Regions from separate parts of the Mus musculus genome. Here regions 1, 2, 4, 5 and 6 are each reported to be linked to region 3. Evidence: microRNA targets listed by miRTarBase, many of them from high-throughput screens and not tested one by one. Region 3 holds a microRNA gene; each other region holds the end of a gene's coding sequence.
The links. Region 3 holds the annotated microRNA mmu-miR-3082-5p (GACAGAGUGUGUGUGUCUGUGU, at 2,324-2,345, shown strand). A microRNA usually pairs through its seed, bases 2 to 8, with sites in the 3' UTR of a target mRNA and lowers its output. Matches are read on the target gene's strand: a 7mer-m8 pairs with bases 2 to 8, a 7mer-A1 pairs with bases 2 to 7 and ends in A, and an 8mer does both.

Region 1 (4,087 bases), not on the chromosome of region 3:
TCATCTTAACAGTCCATGTTTTGCATAGGCTTCACTTGCCCCAGCTTCCTAGAGTTATGGACGATACAGTTTGGGTCCATTTCCCTAAACTACTACTTGTTTATGCAGTGGAGCTCTCAACGAGTGGGGTCAGTTGCTGGTTCAAGTCAGTGTCACTGACATTCATGAGCTCTGACATATGGGCATTGGTGTTCTGGGACTAAGGGCAAGGATGGAGAATCCTGGTTTCAGTGGTGTGCCTGAAGCCTCCTCCCACACCTCCAAGCCCTCAATGTTATGCGAGTTAGCTCTGCTCTGCTCCCTCAGCACCTCATCAGCACTGTTGTCTCTTCTAGGAAAGCGCGTGTGTGTTGGAGAAGGCCTGGCCCGCATGGAACTGTTTCTGCTTTTGTCTGCTATTCTGCAGCATTTTAATCTGAAGTCTCTGGTTGACCCTAAGGATATCGACCTCAGCCCTGTTACAATTGGCTTTGGCAGTATCCCACGCGAATTTAAACTCTGTGTCATTCCTCGTTCATGAGACCTGCTGCCCATCATTATCCCTTACAAAATGACTGTTTAAAAAAATGCCAAGCGGGCTGGTGAGATGGCTCAGTGGGTAAGAGCACCCGACTGCTCTTCCGAAGGTCCGGAGTTCAAATCCCAGCAACCACATGGTGGCTCACAACCATCTGTATCGAGATCTGACTCTGTCTTCTGGAGTGTCTGAAGACAGCTACAGTGTACTTACATATAATAAATAAATAAGTCTTTAAAAAATGCCAAGCATATGGAGTTCCTATCATAAAATGAAACAGAAAAGTATAAGATATTGATGAACTATGTTAGTTGTAGATTTAATGAGAGCCTTGTCCCCTTGACCATGTGAAAGTTCCCCAGTGAGTGAATAGCATTTCACAGCCAGTAGTATAACATCTTCTAATCTATCAGTCCCTGACTTCTCAAAATAATTTGCTTGCATATGCATGGATGATCTGGTTATCTGCCCATCACAAGATACTGAACTAACAATATACTCAAAGTTCTTTTACCATATAGGTATCATATTCTTGGGTTCCTAGGACTATAATGTGAGCAGCTTTATGCTGACCCAACTTTTTCCAGCTGATTTATGTTGGGGTTCTACTTAAACCCAGAATTAACAGATACTACGACAGTGACCCTACTGAAGGTGTTTGGATCATCATAGCTCCACAATGGCAAGACTGCTTCCAGGAGGGGAAAAAAAGTGTCATTTTAGAATTTACTTTAGGGCAGAAATGTTTCAACTTCATAGATTACTGTTACAGAAATCCTGAGTGAGGTAACCCAATCACAAAAGAACTCACACAATATGTACTCACTGATAAGTGGATATTAGCCCAGAAACTTAGGATACCCAAAACAGAAGATACAATTTGCTAAACACATGAAACTCAAGAAGAACAAAGACCAAAGTGTGGACACTTTGCCCCTTCTTAGAATTGGGAACAAAACACCCATGGAAGGAGTTACAGAGACAAAGTCTGGAGCTGAGACGAAAGGATGGACCATCTAGAGATGGCCATATCCAGGGATCCCTCCCATAATCAGCTTCCAAACGCTGACACCATTGCATACACTAGCAAGATTTTGCTGAAAGGACCCAGATATAGCTGTCTCTTGTGAGACTATGCCGGGGCCTAGCAAACACAAGAAGTAGATGCTCACAGTCAGCTATTGGGTGGATCACAGGGCCCCCAATGGAGGAGCTAGAGAAAGTAACCAAGGAGCTGAAGGGGTCTGCAACCCTATAGGTGGAACAACAATATGAACTACCCAGTACCCCCCCAGAGCTCGTGTCTCTAGCTGCATATGTATCAGAAGATGGCCTTATCGGCCATCGGTGGAAAGAGAGGCCCATTGGTCGTGCAAACTTTATCTGCCTCAGTACAGGGGAACATCAGGGCCAAGAAGTGGAAGTGGGTGGGTGGGGGAGTGGGTGGGAGAGCGTGGGGGGGACTTTTGGGATAGCATTGGAAATGTAAATGAAATCAATACCTAAAAGAAAAAAAGAAAAAAAGAAAGATAGGATGTACGTAGCTCTAGGGGCCATTAACTAATTATAGCATCATCTGGCCACTGTCTAAGGTCGACACCTGGTCAGCAGAGTCACCAACTATCTTCTCTTGGTGGTAAAGCTTGAGATGGTTCAAGCCTGGCTCTCTTTTCGAGGAAGTAGCATTAACTTCACAAATACTATTGCAGAAAAGGCATGGTGGCACACATCTTTAAACCCAGCACTCAGGAGGCAAAGGCAGGCACAGATCTCAGTGAGTCTGAGGCCAGCCTGGTCTACATAGCAAATTCCAAACAAGCCAGGACTAAAAATGAGATTCTGTCTCAAAACAAAGAAACAAATAAAACAGGAGTACAGTTCTTTAGAAGAATTAGTCTGGCCTTAAGGAACTTACTATTGCTTTTAGTGTACATATTTCCTCCAAGCTTGGCATGCCCATGCCCATCTTGAAAGTACAGTAACTGTGGCAACCTATAGAAAACTTTGTTCCTGAATCATGGCAATGCAACAGAGCAGACGTCAAGATCTTTAAGAATAGGGCTGTTAGCATCCACTTCTGCATGGAAGGGAAGTATCAAAAGACCCTCAGGAGACCCTTACAAAATCCTCTTCTAGCATTCCACTAAATTCTGTAAGATGAAAAAGAAAAAAAAAAGAACCTGACTGAGGCAGAATTTTAAAAGATATAGATAGCTCTTGTAAATCTCCCTGCTAACTCATTTATTCACTGAGCTGGATTTGACAGAATCTTTCCTTTTTGTCCCCTTCCATATTTAAGGTAAATATACATTCATTTGCATCTTACCAGGAAAACCACAAAACAAATAGCAACCAAACAAGGACCCAATAGAACCAAAGATGAATGGGGAAGGTCTGCCCATTTATGTCCTCCCCAACCAAAAGAGCATTTTTAGTTTAAGATGTTCCTGGCAACAGTTTGGGATTGCTCACACACAATATAGACCACATGCAGACTTAAATTTCATTTATTTTGCTTGAAGAATGAGGTGGTTTATAGTGAGAATTAAGAGCTGGTGATGTGTCTTCCTTTTGTTTCAAAGTATATGCTATTCTGGGCCTACATGAGGGAACTAAATTACCAAGTGGCTTCAGATCCTGTGAGAAGGTTCAGATCAGCATCCTCTGCTCAAGAGAAGAAGCGTGTGTCAGATACTAGTGGTGAGCAAGAGACAGGGAAAGCATTTACTAAGGGTCTGCAGTGTGGACCCTAAGCTAGGTGAAACTCAAAATTGAGCCAAGACATCTCCAGGTTCAAAGACTTGAGGGGCTTGGCCCCAACACCCATTCTTCCACTCGGCACATACTCAGATGAAGCAGGCTACACAAAACATCCGCAAGTGATGTCTGAAGTCAGTAAGTCCTCCAGGCTGAGGAGGGTATTAGGTCCTGCTTGATGGGCGCTCTTGGTCTTGGGCTGTCTCCTCGTGGACTTCTACAGGTTTAGGACTGGCCTGTGGGAGGTAAAGGCCCAGGCATTTTTCCCTGCTCCTACCACCCCTTTCTACCTTTCTGTGCCCATGCTACCATGAGTTTACACCTCTGCCTCAGCTGTGCCTCCTCAGAGGAATGCCCTTTCCACAGACTATACTCTGGAGAATACCACTTTTTTCCTTTCCCTTCTGTTCCCGGATTTACCATCCTCCATGAGCTGTCTTCTTCGTTTTGCGTACTATGAGCAAGGATCTGTACCCCATGCTTTTCCAGTTCTTCCTTCAGCCTGTCCGGGAAGCGTGAAGGACGAGAATGAAAGCAGAAAAATCAAGAAAATATGAAGAGACATACCGGCAGAACAGGGGAAACAGCTGCCATTCACCTTCCTGGGAGAAATGAGGACACAGGAGCTCCGTGCCTACCTCTGCCGTTTCTGCTGTAGCTGGTGGCACCTCTGCTGCAGCTGCTCGTGCTGCTGAGCTGCAGCCTCTAGGAACTCCTCAGCTTTCTTGTTCTCATCCTTGAACATCTGCCTGATAGTGTGGAAAGAAGTCAGTGCTAGACATTTCCTCCTCCTGCCCCACCCTGCATCTTACA
Region 2 (4,087 bases), not on the chromosome of region 3:
GTTGAGAGCCATGGCCATAGGAACTGGAGGCCTAAGGCCTGGTGCTCTCTTGACTCACAGAAGCCCCTGAACCTGGTATTTTTAGACTACAGGGCAGTGTTTTACAGAAAGTTCCCCAGGTGCAGTTTGATTACTTTCTTATGATATAACCTGGAACGGCGGGATGGACAGACGCCCTGCTCCGGCCATCTGATCAGCAGATACATGCTGTGATTTCTCCTGGTGATAGTGGTGTGAGCTTTGGTCACTTGGTTAAATCTGCATCTACTGTCTTTCTTGACTGCAGTAGAGCCCTTTGCGTCTAAAACACAATTTTCATGGAGGTTCCCATGCAGCACTGACCCAAGGGCTCAGTATCGGTCAGAACCAATCGGCACTATTGCTGTAGAAGGTGGTCAGACACTGCTTCTTAGCTGTTAACTCCTGTGACCTTTGCCTCTTCCTCAAGGGTTCTCAGCCATCTATGAGAGCATAGGGTCCCTCAGACAAGTGCTGGAGGCCAAGATGAAGCTGGACAGGGACCAACTTCAGAAGCAGATCCAGCAGATGCAGAAGCCAGAGACCGCCATGTGAAGACGGCTGGGACAAGGACCTGACAGGAGACTGCACGTGGGGCTAAGAGCCAGATGGCTCTGCAGCCACATCGTGGCTATGTTCCGGATCCCATCCAGGGTGTGCATGTGCCAAGAAATGCGCTCTCATGGGTCTAAGCGTTTACCTTCAGTCTTGAAAACACCCTTTACTTAAAATCGTAAATACAATTTTTACAACGTTATTTCCCTAAGTGCAGTTGAGCCCGATTCCCTCAGATTTTGAAAGGCTTTTATGAATGAAAAGAATTTATTTTCAATGCTTGATGCTCTAGCCAAGACTACTATTTTGGAAAAAAAAAAAAAACCCACCATGGTGATTTTTCTTTTGATTAAAAAGTGAATGAGTTGCTACAGGTATGTATTGCCCCTCACCCTACATTAAGAGAAGTCCTGGTAGAGTTCAGCTTTAAGTCCACATCTGGATTGTATTTTTGTTGTCTATATGGTTTTTTTTTTTTAAATGTTGGGTTTTTTTTTTTTTTTTTTTTTTGTAAATCACCTGTCTTTTGTAGAGAAGAAGTTTAACACTGGGAGAGAAAAAAAAAAGCCCTGCAATTTATATAATGAAAATAGTTTTTTAAAATTGATAATTGCCATACAGATTATAAATTAAGTAGAAACTTACAACGTTTATCTAGATCCCACAAGGCACGATATTTATATCCACCTAGGGGTACCGGCTTTTACTATTTAAAGCTATTTTTGAAACCACTCACAACCTGTGTAGTGATAGCCATATATTTAATAATGGGATGGTGGCTAAGCAACCTGTTTATCGAACAGCTAATTGTTCATCAGTTGTAATGAATGTTAGAATTTTTCAGACTTTACGATTTACCTAAATGTTCCCTAAACAGGCACTACGTGCTAGGGTTTATAGACATTTGTTGTAACTGTCTATCTTGTGCCTTGGTTTTTTTTCTTACGTCGCTGTACTGTCCTCTGTAAAAAAAAAAAAGAAATTACCCACAAAATAGACAGTGTGGTAAACACATCAGGGTTGTGGTGTAAGACTGAGATCCTATGTAATTTTAAGCATCCTAATGATTTCATCGCTGTCATGGTGGGCCGCACTCAGCATCCTTCATGGAATAGCTGCACACACCTTTGTATGGACAGAGAGGCAAAGCGAGACTACATTTGTAATACTGCGAGGAGACGGGTGTCCCGGCACCTTTGCAGGCGTTTTATTTTCAGTTGCCATGTTTGAGTCATTGAAGACTTGAGCCTGTGCCATTTGCACTTCTGTGTTAAAGTGAGGGCACAGAGAGAGAGAGGGAGAGAGAGAGAGAGAGAGAGAGAGAGAGAGAGAGAGAGAACAGGAGCATTTAAAAGTTCCAAGAACAACACCCCATCCTTTCCTTTCCTCTCTCATGTGCAAGGACTCAGGAAAATCAAAAGCATTTTCTATTTCTAGAATAAACCACACTGAGATTCTACCTGGCTCTTACTGTTGACCCATGTAAGATATGCTGCTAAAGTACCTAATATTCTACTCTTGGGACCTTGAAAACTTTGATTTGAGTTTGGATGCATGAGAGGTTATGTGAGGAACATGTACCCATCCTGCATTTCTTCATCTCCCCACACATCGTTTCGTCTCCATGCAGGAGGATCTGCCCACCTAGGAGAAGTCAGCGATGCTTCGTGACCAGACAGTGTGGTTTCTTCTTTCCCTGTGTGCTCGGCTAGCCATGTTTTATCGAGTGATTAAGCACAAATCTCACTCAGGACAGGGCCACACCTCCTCAGTGTCTCTCTCCCCTGGGGACTCTAAGGGGGAAGGGTGAGCACACAGGACACTTGGGAGGAGGAGACAGGGGACACCTGCTGACCCTGGCCTAGCAGGTGATGTAAGCAGGTGACACAGCTGCTGGTGATACCGCCAGGTATTCGAGACGTTGCCGACCATGTGACAAGACACTGTGGCAGGGACCCTCCACCCTGGCTGCTTGGGGTCACTTGGGGAGTTTAAAGAGCAACTGACACCAAACAACCTCCTGACCCATTAAGTCAGAGCATCTGGGAGGCAGTCACCAGCACCAACCAGTATGTGTCACAGCCCTATCCCGAATCCCCCCCACCCCCCCACCCCCAGCGATTCTGTGTGCTATGGGGAGGCCAGCCATCCTGCGAAGACAATGGAGTACTCTTCTCGCCAAAGTTTAAAGGAGAATCAGCTGCCCTGTCTTTTCCTTTACCAGAGATTTGCAATAAAGAGAATAAAATTTCCAAATAAGTGTGGCATGGGACTTTTAAATGCGAAGAATCTTTGAGTGTGGGAAGAAAACCTTGGCAGGCCAGCTGCCTTAGGGGACGTACTGCTTGATTTTCTCGAGGCTGCCTCTGGAGTCGCGCCAGTGAGCAGTTCCTGGATGGCTATGTGCCAAGGACCTTTTTAAGTCTGTGTTGAGGCTCTTTTTAAAAATTTTTTAAAATCCCATTGGGTGTGTGCGTGTACATATGTGTATGCGTGAGTATACGTGTGTGCACGTGTGATACATACGTGAACATTGGCTCACGGAGGTCAGGAGAGGGCATCGGATCCGTTGGAGCTGGAGTTACAGATGGTGGTGAATCACTTGACATGCGTGCTAGGAACTAAACACCTGCTCTCTGGAAGATCAAGTGATGCTAGCTGCCCACCATCCCCACAGCCCCTCGCTGAGATGCTTCTGTGTGCTCACTCATTTTGTTTAACAGTGTCTAGTATATACCATTGTCCGTCATTTTACAGTCACGGAAAAATGGCACAACTTACCTCAAATCCTACTGCTCATAAGTAGGAAGCCCGACTCTAGGAAGCACCCGATTATGCATCCTGGCTTTTCTATCTGACAGGCCATCACCCCCAGCCTCTGTCTGACCATCCTTGCTCATTTCGCTTATTTTTTTAAAGACATTCTCACATAGCCGACATTGACCTTGAACTCACTATGTGGATGAGAATGCCCTTGCACCCCTAATCCCCCTGCCTCTATTTCTCAAGGGCTGGGATTAGAGGGGCGAGGCACTGTGCTTGTTATTGTTTTAAATTACATTTTATGTATCGTGTGTGTATACACACATAATTGTATGCATGTGGGGGGTGCCACAGTGCACATACAGAGGTCAGAGGAAACCTGCAGGAGCCAGCTGTCTCCTCCCACTATGGGTTTTATATACACTGATGACTAGACCACTCCTTGGCTCGGCTAAGGGGAAGGCTTTTGTTGTGGATATGAGATGAGGCCAGCCACAGGCATCTGGAAAAATCTAGATCAGAGAGAAAGGAGTAGAACGGACAGGACCAGGGTTCTGTGAGAGAGGGAAGACCGTAAGAGACCAGAGAACCAGAGAGAACAGAGTGTGAGAGGCAGGAGCTGAACACAGAGAAAAAGCATAGCAAGAATTGCAGAGTTCTAGGGAGAACAGAGGATCTGGGGAGGGAAGCCATGAACTGGAGGGAGGGAGGGTCCAGGAGGAGGTGAGAAGGACTGGCATGGGAGCCTGAA
Region 3 (4,087 bases):
TTTTGAGCTCCTAGAGCCCCCACCCAACTTGGGCAAAGATGCTACCTACTCACTCGAGGCAGTGGCAGAAACCACGCAGCGAAGTTTGACTGCGGCGCCCAGATCAGCAGAAAGCCGAGTTCTGCTTCTCCAAGTCCGGGGTTGGGGGTGTTAGCGGCCAACAGCTGATGCAGCAGCGGCTAGAAATGCCTCAACGACAGACCATGGGGTCAAAGGGTCTTGGTGCAGGCGCTCTCCAAGGAAACCAGCCGGCTCCGCCCTTGAAGAAGCTCCTCCCCATGACCGCGAGAAGGGCAAGAGTCCAGCCGTGCACCCGCAGCTACTTCTATAGCAACCGCAGAAGGTCCTTCGGTGTCAGCGTGTCACGTGCTTGTTTCTCAGCCATTAATGGCCGCAGGCAGCTCCTCCCGATTCCCGAGGAAGCCCCTCGAGAGCGGTCTGATCTGCGGGCCTCTCTTCTACCCTCAATTCCGCCTTCCTACCGGCGGTCCAGACGTTCCCAGGCTGTCGCGTGAGCCCGTGTGTGCCCTGGTGGTGCGCTAGGACCCGGGCCTAGTGACCGGCCCTCGGAAGGCCACTTCTCAATGACCGCTGCCACGTTCGCCCAGCTTGGGGCCGGAGGGCGGGGCTTGAGCGCCGATGGGCGGAGCCTTGGTCTGAGCAGGGTAGGTCTCGGTTACTGTAGGGCGGGGCCTGTAGAGCGCGGCGGAAGCTTCTCAGAGCTAAGGGAACTGGCTCAATCCACGAGGCTCCGCCTTTGCTCACGTGTCCCCATGCCAGCTCCGCCCCACACCGGAAGTTCCGGTGGCGGATCGCCGACCGGGCGGAGCTGATCGCTGCGCGGGCTGCGAGATCTAGGTGGCCGGGCGCGGAGCCCAAGCCGTGCCGCGCGGCGCCATGAAGGGCAAGGAGGAAAAGGAGGGCGGCGCGCGGCTGGGCACTGGTGGCGGCGGCAGCCCTGATAAGAGCCCGAGTGCGCAAGAGCTCAAGGAGCAGGGAAACCGGCTCTTCGTGGGCCGCAAGTACCCGGAGGCGGCGGCCTGCTACGGCCGCGCCATCGTGAGTGCGGGAGGGGCGGGGGCGGGGCCCGATGTGCCTCCCAGTTTTGTGATCCCGGACAGGGTTTCTGGCAGCCTGGACTCGATGGCTCGCTCGCTCCCCTGGTGCCCGGATTGCTGTTCCCGAGTCTAGGGCTGATTTGACTGGGAACTGGCGGGCGGGATGCTTGATTAAGTAAGACTAAGGATGACACCAGGAGCTCTTGCCCCTTGAGATTTCCAAGCCCAGAGCTTGTAGAGGGGTTGTGGGATTTCTCTCAAAAGCAGTTGGAGGCAAGAAAGCATGGCCAGAATCCAGAGCTCTTGATAATTCGGAAATCTCCAGTTCCTCTATTCCAGCCATGGGCCCCCAAAGCTGGAGCATTGACCAGATCATTGGCTTTCAGCTTGCTAAATGAGAGGGGATCAACTGAGCCCACACTCTTTGACGCCTGGTCTTGGTCCCCAGACTCGGAACCCACTTGTGGCAGTGTACTACACTAACCGGGCCCTGTGCTATCTGAAGATGCAGCAGCCTGAACAGGCACTTGCTGACTGCCGGCGAGCCCTGGAGCTGGACGGGCAGTCTGTGAAGGCGCACTTCTTCCTGGGGCAGTGCCAGCTGGAGATGGAGAGTTATGATGAGGCCATTGCCAATCTGCAGCGAGGTGGGCTGACAAGATGCAAGGTTGAGGGCACCTTGGGGGACCAGGATTGTTGACAAGTGTAACCAAAAGTGTCCACTCCCCTAGCCTATAGTTTGGCCAAGGAGCAGCGACTCAACTTTGGGGATGATATTCCTAGTGCCCTTCGCATTGCTAAGAAGAAGCGCTGGAACAGTATCGAGGAACGGCGCATCCACCAGGAGAGTGAGCTGCATTCATATCTCACCAGGCTCATTGCTGCTGAGCGAGAGAGGTGGGTCCCTCCCCCAGCAGACACTGAGTCACCAGCACAAGTGTTTTTATTGAAGGACAACAACCGGTACATGGGAAGCCCAGGAGGAAAGAGGCCTGAGATGGGGCGGGCTCTGTGATTTCCTGGTCAGGGCCATCACCAACTAGCTTCTGGTTAACCCTCAGGGAACTGGAGGAGTGTCAGCGGAACCACGAGGGTCATGAAGATGATGGCCACATCCGGGCCCAGCAGGCCTGCATTGAGGCCAAGCACGTGAGGGTGCCCCTAGTCCACATGTGGGTCATTGTGTGTGTGTTTGTGTGTGGCATGAAAAGTGCCCCAGCCTTTGGTGGATCTGTTGGCCCATGCATGACATGAGTGCCCTGGTGGACAGAGTGTGTGTGTCTGTGTGGAGACAGGAGTTGCCCACACATGGCACTCAACTCTGCAGGATAAATACATGGCAGATATGGATGAGCTCTTCTCTCAGGTGGACGAGAAAAGAAAGGTGAGGACCCCCGGAAGCTCATCGGCTGCTGCTGGTATGGTGACCCCCACAGCCCCCTCCAGTTCTAGACATTTTCCCCTTGTGCTATAGAAGCGAGATATCCCTGACTACTTGTGTGGCAAGATTAGCTTTGAGCTGATGCGGGAACCCTGCATTACACCCAGTGGTATCACCTATGACCGCAAGGACATTGAGGAGCACCTGCAGGTAAGGAGGGCCCATGGAGACCGGGCCATGGAGAGCCTTGGTACCCGGATCGGTATACTCAGGCCATTGAACACTCTTGACTCTGTTGCAGCGTGTGGGCCACTTTGACCCTGTGACCCGGAGCCCTCTGACCCAGGAACAGCTCATCCCCAACTTGGCCATGAAGGAAGTCATTGACGCTTTCATCTCTGAGAACGGCTGGGTAGAGGACTATTGAGGCCCCATGTCCTGCCTGGCACCCTGGCCCAGGAGGATCTGGAGACGGAAGCTCCAGTCCCTGTATAGTTTGTGTCCCTGGGCCTGCCCCCATCGGCCCTGCTGATGGGTTCTGAACTGCTCCCCTTCTCAGCATACCCCTTGCTGGACCATGAGCCTCCCTTGTCCCCCTTCTGGGCTGGAGAGTGGGTGAGGGTGGGCTGAGGTTGCTGCTGCTGCCACTGTCCTGTAATAAAGTCTGTGAGCACTACATTGGCATGTGCTGGTGCAGTGGGCTTGCCAGTTGCCTGTCTGGCTAGCCAAGGAAGGTAGAAATGAAGACACTGGTGTCCAGATTGAGTGTGGCATGCCACCACCGATCAGGAAAATACAGTACCTGGGAGAAAAGAAAAAAAAAATTTTGATTCATGGCTTTTTGAGTTAGCCCAACCCCCACCTACCAGCTACTGACTTCACCAGCCTGGATGGTACATTCTAGAGGCCGTGCTGACAGGGCTAGAGATGGGTATATTTCCAGCAGCCAGGCCAATGTGGTCTTGTTAGGGTGGAACTCAGGTGTCTTCTCAGGAGGGTAGAGGAACCAGCGCTGGAGGCAGGAGTGTAAGGTCACTATGTGTGCAATGGACTATAGACACCAGATTTACACACACACATAACACACACATAACACTGTACTGACCTTCCGACCATAGATAACCTCTGAGAAACCAGGCCCATGCCAGTGGAAGGGTACCCCAGATCCAGCTCCTGTGGGGTCAGTTATGAATAGCTGATGAACAAAATATATATGGGCTCCCCCAAGTTTGTTTTGAAGTAGCCCCTACCTGCAATTCCAAAGCTGTAAGCAGGGGTGGTTCCCAGGAGACGGAATGGTGGCGGAGAGTAGTGCTGGAAGAGGGATGCCCACTCAGTGAAGTTGTTGTCTCCAAAAAAGTACAGGGTGTCTGCCAGCAGAGAGGGTGATAGGCAGGAGTACTGGCAACAGTGGGCTCCCAAGTACCCCACTCCCACCGCTGCCTGGGTCTGGCTCACCATTGCCTAGGGATGCAGGATCCTGGGGCTGCAGCAGCTGTTCCACATATTCCTGGAAGGGCAGGTCCACTACAAGAAGGGGGAGCCAGTCGGGACTGGTCAGTTCTGCCTTTGAGATGTGAAGGCAAACCTTGCAGGGTGTGTAGCTCACCTTTCTGGTAGGAGTAGGTGTTGGCTGTACTCAAGCGAA
Region 4 (4,087 bases), not on the chromosome of region 3:
TCAGGGGGCTCAGTGGACCTCTTCCACGTTCGGGAGAGCGGATGGGAGTATGTATCCCGCAGTGATGCTTGCGTGCTGTATAGGGAGCTGCAGAAAGCCCGGAGCTTGGAGCAGGAGCTGGAGGCAAAAGCTTGTGGAATCTATCCTGAGCCTGCCACGCCGCAAGGTGCTCGAGAATGTAAAGAACTCTTTGTGGAGCAAGAGGAGGTGACGCCAGAAGACTGCGCGATAATAATGAAGACTGAAACAATGTAAGAAAGGACAGAACTTGGGGACTGCCAGGACAAGGGACTAGGGGATGAAGCTGCCTTGGCAGGGTTAGTTCTGGGAGCAGCCCCGGGCATCTGGCTCTGGCCCTTTTGGGTTTCCTGCTTTGTTTAAGTTCCCATCCTCTCTGCTTCCCAGAGCTACTGATGTCTCTGTCCAACATGTTCTGATGATACCTGATGGATGGTATTGCCTCCTTCTGCCTCTAAAGTGACTAAACAAACACTCATTGCATGCCTACTTTGTGCCAACTGTCATGCTATGTGCTGGGCCCTCTTTTGTCATTCTACCCCAGTTGGTATTCTCATTTTGGTCCTTATCTGGTTTGTTTTCTCTTTCAGCTGGTCACCTTTTCAACTTGGTCAGGCTGAATGGCCAGGAGAGAGCCTAGTTTAGTGATGGGCTTGTCTCTGCTGGCCCTCCACACCCTGACCCCCACCATGACTGTAATGGCTATAATGATTCCACCTATACTGAGTGCAGTTCCCATGACAGCTTTTGCAAGCATGATTGTTTATTGAAGCTGGGTCAGGTTTAGAGAGTTACAGGACTTACGCAGGTTACAGTAGGTGACAATGTTGTGGGGCTTAAGACACTCTTAATCCTTCCCCAGCTCTCTGCATCTTTCCCTCCCAGCCTCCACTGTCTTGCCTTGTTTTTCTGCCTGCATTGCAGGCTTCTGGGGAATGGGCCAAACCCCTGCCTGTTGTCTGGAGATGAATGAACTCCAAGGAACTCATGGGCTTGGAGGGAAGAGCTCAGAGAAGCTGCCCATTCCCGGTCTCATCTTGCTGTGTTGGTCAGGGTTTGAGCCATGCCCTGTAGCACACACATCCCTGCTCTCTACCCTGCAGATCTCTCCCTGCTTCTTCGCTCCGGCCTCTCCTGGTTGCTCCTGCTGGAGAATGAAGACCAGAGGCAGGGTGCTGTGCCTCTGGTGCCAGCTAGCACATCTGGCCTTCCTGGCCTGCTCTGGACGTCCAGGATTTCAGCTTCAGGAACACCACTGCCTCCTCCTCAGGGCTGGGCATCCAGAGAAAGGGAACCCAAAGAACTTTCCTCTCACCTGAAGCCTCCAGTCCTAAGACTGACAACTGCTTCTCCTTCCTTGACAGTGTGCACTTCGAATTAAGAATTCTTTGAAATCAGACTTAGACTTACAGATTCTTACCCAGACTCTCCAAACTCTGGAGAGTCAAAAGGCAAGCTGGGGAGCCCAGAGAAAATGGAGGATGGGCAGTGGTGATGCACAACTTTAATCCCAGCACTCAGTAGGCAGCAGCAGGCGGATTTCTGAGTTGGAGGCCAGCCTGGTCTACAGAGTGAGTTCCAGGACAGCCAGGGCTACACAGAGAAACCCTGTCTTGAAAAACCAAACCAAACCAAACCAAACCAAACCAAACCAAACCAAACCAAACCAAACCAAACCAAACCAAACCAAACCAAGCCAAGCCAAACCAAGCCAAACAAACAAACAAACAAACAAACAAACAACCCTACAAAAAACAAGAAACAAACAAACTCCCAAACCCAGAGTGCTACAGAAAGGTTCCCAATACATGGGGTCTGGCTTGCAAGCCAGGGTAGAAATCTGGCTATTGGCCTTCAAAGCATCCTTCATCCCCTGCAAACTTCCTAGCCTTGGGGAAGAGATATGATCCTCCAGGAGTGACATCCAAAGGTTAGGGATACTGAAGAAGCAAATGAGGAGAGGTCATTTTTTTTTTTTTTAAGATTTATTTCTTTTAATGTCCTGTTTTCAAACACACCAGAAGAGGGCATCAGATCCCATTACAGATGATTGTGAGCCACCGTGTGGTTGCTGGGATTTGAACTCAGGACCTCTGGAAGAGCAGGCAGTGCTCTTAACCTCTGAGCCACCTCTCCAGCCTGAGAGGTAACTTTTGCACAGGCATAAGTGGGTTCAGATTCATGGCCATTGATGAGGGTCTTATGTCCAGCTGTCGGGGAATGAGTTAAGATAGGCATCTGCACTTCAGTGTGGTGGGCGAGGCATGTGGTGTTGTTCTGTGGAAGAGAGAGGAGCAGCACTTGACTCAGAGCAGCCGCTGCAGCCTGTGTAGCCCAGCGCTAGCCATCATGCACAGTGGAGAGCCACAAAAAAGAGGAGGTTGGGGCGGGGCTGTATAGGAGCCTATGGCTGCTCCTCACCCTGGTCTACTCTGAGGCTTTCAGGCAGTGAACAGAGGCAGGGGCAGAGGGATGGTCTGGGACCTGGGATGAACATCTGGGACCAGCCAAAGGCTGCTGTGCATCTCAATCCCCTGAGATGCTCTGTGCCTCTCTTCTCAGACTGGACAAGGAGGCTAGAACCCTGAAAGAGCAGAACTTGCATCTACATCCGTCTCCTCCTCTCTCCTCTCTCTTCCTTCCATGATCTTATTCTTGGTCTTATTCATGATCTTATTCTTATTCTTGATCTTCATTCTTCTTGGCAGGTGATGAGATATGTAAGCTTACAGGTTTTGCTGATGAGCTTGTATCCCCAAACCCTGTAAGAATTTCGAGGGGCTGAGAGATGGCTCTGCAGGTAAAGGTACTTGCCACCAAACCCGATGACATACGAGTTTAGTCCCCAGGACTGACATGTGGAAAAGGATAGGAAAAAGATACACTGTGTAAATACATGAACCAGGAAAACATTTAAACAGTGTTTGAGGAAATGTTTGTCTTGTTGTTGTTGTTGACTTTAAATATGAGTGTATGCATGTATGCATGTATGTATGTATGCATGTCACATGCATGCCTGGTGCCCACAGAGGTTAGAAGAGGGTATCAGGTCTCCTGGAAGCAGAGTTCTGGATGATTGTGATCCACCACGTGGGGGCAGGGAATCAAACAGGAGGACCTTCTGGAAGAGTCAATGCTAAGTCACCTCTCCAGCCCCAGGTTCCTCTCAGTGTTTTTGCTTTAATGCTTTTTTTAGACTCATGTGCATGGATGGGTATTTTGCTCCATGTATGTATTGTTCCACATACTTGCCTGCTGCCTGCAGGTCAGAAGAGGATATCAAATCCCCTGGAGTCAGAGATGCTTGTGAGCCATCATGTGGGTGCTGTTTGTTGTGAGTTTATAGCCAATCAGCCTCTATCCACATAACAACTTCTTAGTTTTTCTATTTCTAATTTATGCTGTACTTTTGTTTTGTTTTGTTTTGTTTTTCGAGACAGGGTTTCTCTGTATAGCCCTGGCTGTCCTGGAACTCACTTTGTAGACCAGGTTGGCCTCGATCTCAGAAATTCACCTGCCTCTGCCTCCCGAGTGCTGGGATTAAAGGTGTGTGTTACCACGCCCGGCTCTGTTCCAATGATTTTTAAAGGTTGACGCAGGTATCAGGGTGAGACCAAAGGGCCTCCTTGCCTTGACCGCAGGACCCTGATCTCTCTGGTGTCCTGCTTTGGCTGCTGCATCTTCAGTTTCTTAAGACCCTGGAGGGATGGACACACACCTGCTCTTATGCAGGACTCTTAATGCAACTTCAGCAGAGAAAAGAGCCAGCAATGGAGACATGGCTCTGCCTCCCTGTAAGTACCTGGGGGGCTCTTACCCCACTTTAGAGAATTTATTTCCCAAATTATAGACATAAATCTTTATAACAAGCCTTAAAAACACTAGAGCTGAGCAGATATCAACCCTCTAAGCTATTGTCTACATTTCTGTCAATATCCCGGAGATATCACTTGCCACGTCCTGCCTGGGACATGCCTACTCTACCAGACTAGCCCTCAAGGCTGTACTCATGATCAGCCTATCCCATGGTGGCTTTTTCCTTCTCTTCCTCTTTCATCCTGTGGTCCCT
Region 5 (4,087 bases), not on the chromosome of region 3:
TGCGTTGTCTCTGTACCCAAGGTCTCACTGTATTCGTAAGGTTGCCAAGTTCAGTGTTCATTGTTTTGATTTCTACATATTTGGCCCCTCAAACTCTTGATATAGGTTTGCTTGCACTTGTAAGCTAATCAAGGAAAACCATAAGAAAATATGCATATAAGGAAATTATTCCTCTCCATAAGCAAACTACTACTGGTTTTAAACATTCAACCTCCTTTAAAAGCTGATAAATGAGGGATAATACGACTGTTCGGCTTAAGAAAGCACTACAGATAAATTTTACCAAGACTGGTTCATGATATAAGATGCTTTGTCTTTATGCTAAAATTTTTTTTTAAGGAAATCTTGGGTATTGTATGTAAATCTAGCTTATCAATTTTAAAACTTGTATTCTCTTAAGAACTACATTAACAGAAAGCCTTTTTTATAAGCAGTAACGTTAAGAATGTTCCAGTGACTACCTGCCCTTATACCTAGTCTTGTTAAAACTTTCTTTTGCAGGGCATTTTAGTGTTTGGTTTACAGTAAGTGCAGAATGGGCAGATAAAAAGATTGAGTTAGGGACATTGAAAAAGAAAGATCAAAGAATGAAAACTTTTTTTTAGGGAGATGGCAAACTTGGACCCCTGTATATCTTCATGTGTATGGTGCTCACGATGTCTTGTACTTTGCCTTTCTGATACCCACCAGAACTGCTGCTCTTACTCTACCTTGCCCAAATCTCCCATGTGAGAAATGCTTTATGATCAACTGCCATAGGACTGACTGATGGAGTAACCAGTGTTTGAATTTATTTGAAGTCTATCTATGCCCTGCACAGATCTTGTATGTATTTTAGATGCTAGGAGTTTTAGCATGTGATTTGTGACTCTTGTTTGGATGTTTATTACAGGTACCTTGTGAATTCCAGAACAGAGACTGTGCCTCACAATTATTGGTCCCATGAACTTGCACTATCTTTCATGGTAATATTCTAAAAATATAACCAGGAAAAACAAAAAACAAACACCTTTGGACTTAAAGACAGAATTATGTATCACACACAATTATGAAAACATCGCTTCTGACCCTTTTTCTTATCCTTAATAATTAAGTCACATTTAAGTAAAATTCAAATGGTTGGGAAAAACAAAACAAAACAAAACAAAACCAAACTCCTCACCAGATAGATGGTAGTTTAGTGGAATAGAATGATTACTGTTTTTTAAAAAAAAATGCTTCATCAGATATTTTCCAGTTTCTCTTTTTTACTTTTTTGAAAAATTACTTTTTAGGAAGATTTGGTATAATGTGCATAAAATTATTTACAATTTATGGACAAAGATACAAGTAGCATCTTGATTAAACATCATTTACCTCAGATATTCAACCAGCAGTACGTTTTTTATGCAGTCTCAACCCGTATCTCCCTATTTGTTACCTCTCAAAATATTGGTAAACAATTATTTTAGCTTTACTCTGTATTTCTTGTCAGTGTTTTGGGCACAGGTTGTTGTACTACTGTCATATTGTACTTGCTATTTTTTTTTTCTGCAAGTATTTAACAGAAAGCTAAAAATGAAAAAAATCCCCATAAAATCCCACCTTGAATAAGTGATTGTTAAATATTGTACAAATAAAATGTATGCTATCCCCATTCCATCCCCATGTTAAATAAAAAATGAATATGGTATTATTTGCACATGCAGTTTTTCTTTAGCTATGAATTTATGTTGTTAAAGAGGGTAATGAGAGCTTTCCAACTTATGGTCAGGCTTCGGTCTTGAGGTTTTCAAGGGTCATAAGATCAAGGAGGTTGTGAATTAGGGACTTTTCCTTACACCGTTGCTTGATCAGACTGTATTTCTACCCAAGTGTCTATGTTGGCCCTTCTTGCCCATGACCATAGGCTTATTCTTAGTCACACATGCATCAGATTATGTGCTCTCAGGGTTAACAGTGAAGGCAACAAGAACCTGCACTGTTAAGTCACTCACAGCAAAAGGCACACCATGGTAGAAAGTACCTCACTGGAGTAGAAACACCACTGCAGAGTCTGTGATGGATGTCTAAATCTTTAGGGCAGTGGATACCATGTCCTTACATTATAAGACGTTACCTAATGTATGGAAGTTTGGACAATGGATTTTAATTTTTCAGACACGTGTCTGCATAAAATCAGATGCCTTTTAAACAAGATCCATGTTTCACTAGGCCACATGGAGGAAGGCTACATGGAAAGTCCTTTTTGTTTGTTCTTCCATCTCTTGGCCCAGTGGAGTCTTGAGCAGAGTGAATGAATGAATTCTCTTCATTGCAGAGAATCTTCAAGTCAGACTTTGTGTTCACAATCATTCGTCCCCCTCCGCTCCTGTAGTTGAGATAGCTTGGGCTAGTTTGGAAATGTTTTTTAGGCTCCTAAAAGTATATACCTTTCTTGCTTCTACTCTTGTGGAATCACATGTTAAAGCCAGACACTTCAATATCAAACGTTCTTGTGATTTGTGTTTTAGAATCTAATTTTTCTCACTTTAGAATTATCTAATAATGTATTTTGAACAACTTGTAAGGTGGAAGTAGTTTAAAAATTGGACATATATGTTTATACTTGTATGACCTTGATATTACAGCTTCATTTTTATCATGACTAAAAGAAAGACACAGAAAGCTAAGCATGTTTTACTGTGAAAGGGAAAGGCTGTGAATGAAGAAAGTTTTAACTATGAGGTACTACATTAATGCACAGAAAATTTATATTTAAGATTTCTTAAAAGTCAAATTATTCCTTACAGTATCCTGTAAAAATAGTAAAACATTTGTTGCTAAGCTTTAGTTTTTAACACTGGCTTTAATGTCAGTCAAACCAAGCTGCATTCAAGGTCACATCAGTCATTCCCATACTGTGATCCTGACACTGGTGTTAGTTTTCTGATCTGTAAATAAGAGCATTTAATTCTGCAGATACTTTACAAACTGCACATACAAAGGATTATGTATTTTATAAAATCTTACTACAACTAAATATGCAATCAAATATTCTTGAACAAAGGATCTCTGAGATTAAATTCCATTTTAACCTGTGAGTTTTGCCTATGAGCTTAGGAGGTGGACGCTGACCAACATAGCATGTTAAGAGAATTCCTTTTTTTGAAGCCAACAGCCAACACTGTGGAATACGTATTAGTTGTGGAAGTAGATGCCCAGGAATCCTTTAAGGTACCTGTTAGATGGCAATTTTGATCCCTTCTGAACATATACAAAGAATGTACATGGAAAAAAAAATCCTACAATTGTGGTGAGATATGCAGAGAAGAAAATGATGAGTTGTTTGGACTCTTTCCACACAAGTTCTTCAGCCCAAATGGGCCAGTTTACTAAACTAGAACACTGGGGGATCTGTAGAAGATCCAAAATTGGAGGATCCTATAGGAACCAATTCAGGAAAATCAACCCAACTCCAATATCCACAGGCGCCTAATCTAGCCGGAATATTCCTCATGTAATTTCTGTTCGTATTTCTCTCCTGACTGCTTAGGATTATGATCTGTAAACTAAATGCTTTGTTGGAATTAACCTTTCTAATGGACCACATACACTTTAAAAGAGTATCAAATCATTTTATGGACCATGCGTAAAATAAGCACATTTTATTCTTATGAACTGCTACTTGTGTGGTGCAATTTAAATTAATGAAACTGTGTCCATGCGTGGTCATTATTCAAAACATACTAAGTGCAAATTTCCCATAAACTATTTATAAACAAAGCAATGTAGTAGCGTATCTTATTAAATAAAGAACAGTACTTTAAGGTCTTCACAGAAATGTACTTAAAATCTTCACAGCCAGCTTAGTGAGGATGTTGCCCACTGCCTAACATCTGTAGGGCAGTTGGAGTATTTCTGTAGAGCATTCATAATTTGAGTATTATCCAAAAGTAGTTTCACTAGCTGGTATTCTCTCTGAGAATTTACTGAAGTTCTTTCCACGGGTTTTATTAATTCCAACTGTTGTAAGTGCTCAAATGCCTGCAAGAGAAAAGACAAAGCTTAGATGTAAGGGGACACGTGTTAAACCCAGAGGATAGTTATTGCTGTGAAACAGTGGCAG
Region 6 (4,081 bases), not on the chromosome of region 3:
TTGTAAGCTGCCTAAATGCTTGGTTTTGTAAAATTTCTGAAATGATGTATGCGTGAAAGGAAAACACACTAAGGTTTTTTGTTTGTTTGTTTGTTTGTTTGTTTAAAAGCCACTTCTGAAGCCACATTTAACAGTTAGGCTCCAAGTCACTTCAATTCAGTGGCTCTTTTCCATGTACAGAGGACAACGCGCCTGCCCCAGGGAGCTGTTGTAAGGAGTCATAAATAGGAGGACACCGCAGAACACAGCTCAGGACTCACGTTTAACAAACCAGCTTCCCTTCCCACTTTCTTACAACGGCGACTGACTGCAGGGTCCCCAGCCTCAGTGTGTGTGTTCCCACCCAATTCTAAAATCCAGAAAGACTCCCAGCACTTCAGAGAGAATCAGTCTAGTTTTGTGTAAAGGAAAAAGGGACAGAACCAAGCAGACATCAATACAATTAATGCCCTGAACCAACTATTGCTCAGCTACCTGCAACTGCTGAGTCCTGTGCACCCTAGCAAGTACTTTGCAGAGGCGAAACCTCGCATCTATCATCCATCACAAGCATACAAGCACACCGCTAACAAGAAATGAGAACCAGCTGCTCCTCTCTGAACCGAGTAAGGATTTACTTAGGAAACACAGGCCAAGTTCACGGACTCGTTACATGGCTGCCGATGCTACCCAACACCACGGAAGTAAAGTACCTCAACTCTACCTAATTTAACTCTACTTCATTTAAGCTAACAATTTTGGAGCTCAAAGAAAAATCAAGGATCTAGTCTATCACAGTCTTGATGAGGGCATATACACTGTTCTGAGTTAAACTGTAATGATTTCACACCATACTGAAGGAATTCAAGGTTGTAAGACCCCAAATAAACACAAACAAAAGTCGTGGGTCAAATGCACCCTCAAGCTCACCGTCCTTTCTATCAAGAGCAGGAAGGCCTCTGCACACTGCAGGAAGGGCGTAACCACACCTCCACCTCCACTCTCAGTGTTCTAGTGCTCACTGCTCTAATGATGATGCCAGGCTGATGCCTACCAAGTTCCACTTTCTGACGTCACTGCTACGTCTCATTTCTACCTGATTCTTCCCCCGTAGCCTTTTATACTGAGCCTCACTCACTTCTCCTTTCCAAACCTCTCAGGCCAAGCTTTGGCGGACAGCTCCCTTACTACACACAGCACATGATCCAAATGATGAAGCCATACAACCTGAGCTAGCGGGTCCGCGCTTTAGTCCACTCTTCTCAATGTCCAGTGACAGAGTTTGATACTCGTGATCCTTACATTCACTTGACAGATTCTAAAGCCAACTTGTTCAAAAGATAAATTCTGAAAACAATGTTCATGATGTAAATGACTATATTGAAACAAAGAAAAGCTTCATCCAAGTATTTACATTTTTAAAAAAAGACATTTAAAAGTAGACTACTTATTAAGTGTGCTTGAACAAACCATGTGTGGAATTGAATTCCATTCATTATGGAGTTAGTTTCTGCTAAATACTTACTGATGCTATAGTAGACGCCTGGCACCTGAAGACTCAAGTTGTCAACTGTTCCCAGTCTACACTAAGAAGTAATACATCCTACACTCCCAAGGCTCTAATTCGGACCTCAGACACACAGAGCTGGACTATAAGGCAGTTACTCAGGGATGACGACGTGGCAGCTTTTAAGTGTAGTAGTCCCTCCACCTCCCCATGTTTTATCAGGTTTTTAGTTAAACACTATGGGCCATTTAAAGGTTTTAATTACTTATACCTTACTGTAGTATGTTACAGTAGCTTACCAAATTTAGATATTCAGAGGTTTTGGAAAATGTTTTTTTGAGAATGAGAAGGGTCCCCTATATTACATTAAGTAAAAAAACCATACAGTTCTGTAGGCCTCAAAATAAACAGATTATACAGCTCAATTAAAAACCACACACATTATATTACATACAAAGTTTACAGTCCAGAAATGCAAATACAGGCAATTTGACATTTCACCCCCTTTTGCAAAGTGATTAACAATTACAGAAGACACAGAAAACCTTCAATCATTATTGGCTTTGGCTTACACGTTAAACAGCTTATAAGTTTGTTTCTGTGTGTGTTTTATTTTGTAGCTTTCCTTTAGCTGTGTGTGGAAGGGATTGGACCACAAGAAAACAAGAATGAAAAAGGTCAGGAATAGAAAAGCTACTGAAATTACCACTTCCTTATAATACACGCAGGCAGAATATGGCTTCAAAGACAGAGGGAAGGAAGCCTCTTACAAGTCCCATTCAACATTACTGTAACTTCTTGTAAGTGTGACAACAATGCCAAGTGAAGTCGCTAGGTCAGGCAGGGATGACTCAAGTCAACTTATCAAACCCAACTTAATTTTGGTCTTGAAATCTTAAGTGCTTGAAGTTTGGGAATTTTTCATATTAATAAAGGCAAAAAAGTAGGTCAGCATTCAAAACTCCCCAGAGATGGGGTCAAAGGATAAACCTTGTAGCCGCTTTAAAGCTTTCCAATTAAGATCTCTGGAGATCAGGGTTAATTAAAATGTATTCCTGCTCCTAAAATGTGATCCCTTGGATTATAGACCGTGACAATTTTTTTCTTAAAATTCTATCTACTAAGAACAAATGTCTGTTTAAAGCCAACAACAAACAAGCAAAGCAAAGAGGCCACCCCAGAGGCTCCAGGCCACCCCGAGGCTCCCAGGCCACGTGGACAATGGACAACCCAACAGTCCAGTCTGCACAGACAGACAATTCTTTGTTAAAAACCAAACAAAAACAGGCATAGAATTAAGATTTATATACTAGTGTCAGTAGAATTGTCAGGCTTCACTATTTTGTTGCTAGTGATTCCAAAATTCCTTGACTCCATTGTTAAGTTCCTGAAGGGTGCACACAGCAGACAGCAGAAACTACCCAGCATGCCTCTGATGCTCACAGCAGCCACCCCTGCTGTGCAGTTAGATACAAGCTGGGACAGACAGCAAGCAGAAGGCCGGCTTGTGCCCTCAGTTTGGATTTGATCGATTCCAAGAAATAAACAAATTATTCCCTCAAAACAATTCACCTAAAACCACACTGGGAAAAAAATATTAATTGAACTTGGGGTCAAAACAGGAAACTAGCATAAGGGAAGTGGCGAGAGCGTTTTGCTGAGTATGCTAAAGGTGTGTTTCAGGTAGTTTAACATTGATTCTGGTAAGACAACTGCTCACAGACATCCACACCCACACAGTTTAATGGTTTTTTAAAAAAAAAAAAAAAAAAAAAACCCCAAATTTGTTACTTTAGAAAAGCAATGCAGTGCATTTTCAGCAATCGTATGGCCACAGACTCCGACTGCTCAGTCCACACATAAGCAGCAGTTGGCGTCTATGGTGGCGTGGCCTCTCTGCACTCATTCCCAGGAGGCCGAGAACACGAGGGCAGGGCAAGCACAGGCTGCACTGCGGCACACACAACATTTACTCATCAGATCCCACCGATCGCTTCTGCGCCCGCTTCCGGGGCTGCCTTCTGGGAGAAGCTTTATCTGCAAAAAAAAAAAAAAGGAGCAAGTTAAAGCAAGAGAGGTTTGCCTCTCAGGCAGCTCTAAACTCAACACACCCACCCACCCACCCACCCACCTCTCACACACCCACACCCCATAACAAATGCCTTTTACCTAGCTCTTGGTTTTTTAAAAGAACTTTAAAGATATCCTTCTAGGGTAATACCAATTAAAATAACATTTGCATATCTAACATAGGAAATGATTGGACAATGGTTGCTGTATTGCTGCAGACACCACACACATTCAATAACATGCTCACAAGTGCACAAGTAAGAATTCTGAAATGCTTTAAAAGACCCAGGCATAGAGGTCTACATCCCAGCACGTGGGAGATGGAAGCAGGAGGATTAGGACTTCTGCAAGGCTCTTCTTCAAAAACACACACAATATTTAAAAGATACAATTGGAGCATATTTATGTTCAGCACAAACACAAAATTTAGTCTTTGCGGGTGCATTAAGTTTTGGCAACTATACAAACTTAACTGGAGAAGCAAACAAAGGCCATTAGTACCTCAATGCTAAAACCACTCCAGTA

Region 1: miRTarBase lists Cyp2e1 as a target of mmu-miR-3082-5p. Seed matches in the 3' UTR shown: 7mer-m8 at 687-693.
Region 2: the mRNA of Fam81a is a reported target of mmu-miR-3082-5p. Seed matches in the 3' UTR shown: 7mer-A1 at 1,534-1,540.
Region 4: the mRNA of Psmb11 is a reported target of mmu-miR-3082-5p. Seed matches in the 3' UTR shown: 7mer-A1 at 3,464-3,470.
Region 5: the mRNA of Orc4 is a reported target of mmu-miR-3082-5p. The part of its 3' UTR that is shown has no 7-base or 8-base seed match.
Region 6: miRTarBase lists Ssr1 as a target of mmu-miR-3082-5p. Seed matches in the 3' UTR shown: 7mer-m8 at 1,255-1,261 and 7mer-A1 at 176-182.

What each region holds. Positions count from the first base shown.
Region 1 is chr7:140,774,223-140,778,309 of GRCm38, forward strand. Cyp2e1 (cytochrome P450, family 2, subfamily e, polypeptide 1) reads left to right here. Exons shown (of 9, transcript NM_021282.3): 9 at 336-768. The coding sequence ends at 520. It overlaps Syce1 (synaptonemal complex central element protein 1), which reads right to left. Exons shown (of 13, transcript NM_001143765.1): 10 at 4,087; 11 at 3,913-4,023; 12 at 3,695-3,776; 13 at 3,007-3,510. The coding sequence ends at 3,439. Among named protein-coding and RNA genes, the nearest start is that of Syce1, 12 kb to the right of the region's middle.
Region 2 is chr9:70,087,253-70,091,339 of GRCm38, reverse strand. Fam81a (family with sequence similarity 81, member A) reads left to right here. Exons shown (of 9, transcript NM_029784.2): 9 at 449-2,030. The coding sequence ends at 573. Among named protein-coding and RNA genes, the nearest start is that of Gm39369, 6.3 kb to the right of the region's middle.
Region 3 is chr17:25,829,664-25,833,750 of GRCm38, reverse strand. Mir3082 (microRNA 3082) reads left to right here and starts at 2,323; the gene lies at 2,323-2,386. Jmjd8 (jumonji domain containing 8) reads right to left here. Exons shown (of 9, transcript NM_028101.5): 4 at 4,049-4,087; 5 at 3,898-3,966; 6 at 3,690-3,809; 7 at 3,545-3,612; 8 at 3,317-3,451; 9 at 1,908-3,241. The coding sequence ends at 3,161. Stub1 (STIP1 homology and U-Box containing protein 1) reads left to right here and starts at 832. Exons shown (of 7, transcript NM_019719.4): 1 at 832-1,059; 2 at 1,507-1,705; 3 at 1,790-1,955; 4 at 2,120-2,207; 5 at 2,386-2,442; 6 at 2,533-2,649; 7 at 2,741-3,117. The coding sequence starts at 898. The coding sequence ends at 2,866.
Region 4 is chr14:54,625,981-54,630,067 of GRCm38, forward strand. It overlaps Psmb11 (proteasome (prosome, macropain) subunit, beta type, 11), which reads left to right. Exons shown (of 1, transcript NM_175204.4): 1 at 1-3,576. The coding sequence ends at 255. Among named protein-coding and RNA genes, the nearest start is that of Psmb11, 2.7 kb to the left of the region's middle.
Region 5 is chr2:48,901,595-48,905,681 of GRCm38, forward strand. It overlaps Orc4 (origin recognition complex, subunit 4), which reads right to left. Exons shown (of 14, transcript NM_011958.4): 14 at 1,231-4,005. The coding sequence ends at 3,817. Acvr2a (activin receptor IIA) reads left to right here. Exons shown (of 11, transcript NM_007396.4): 11 at 1-1,670. Among named protein-coding and RNA genes, the nearest start is that of Orc4, 46 kb to the right of the region's middle.
Region 6 is chr13:37,976,284-37,980,364 of GRCm38, forward strand. Ssr1 (signal sequence receptor, alpha) reads right to left here. Exons shown (of 8, transcript NM_025965.4): 8 at 1-3,523. The coding sequence ends at 3,456. Among named protein-coding and RNA genes, the nearest start is that of Gm52041, 12 kb to the left of the region's middle.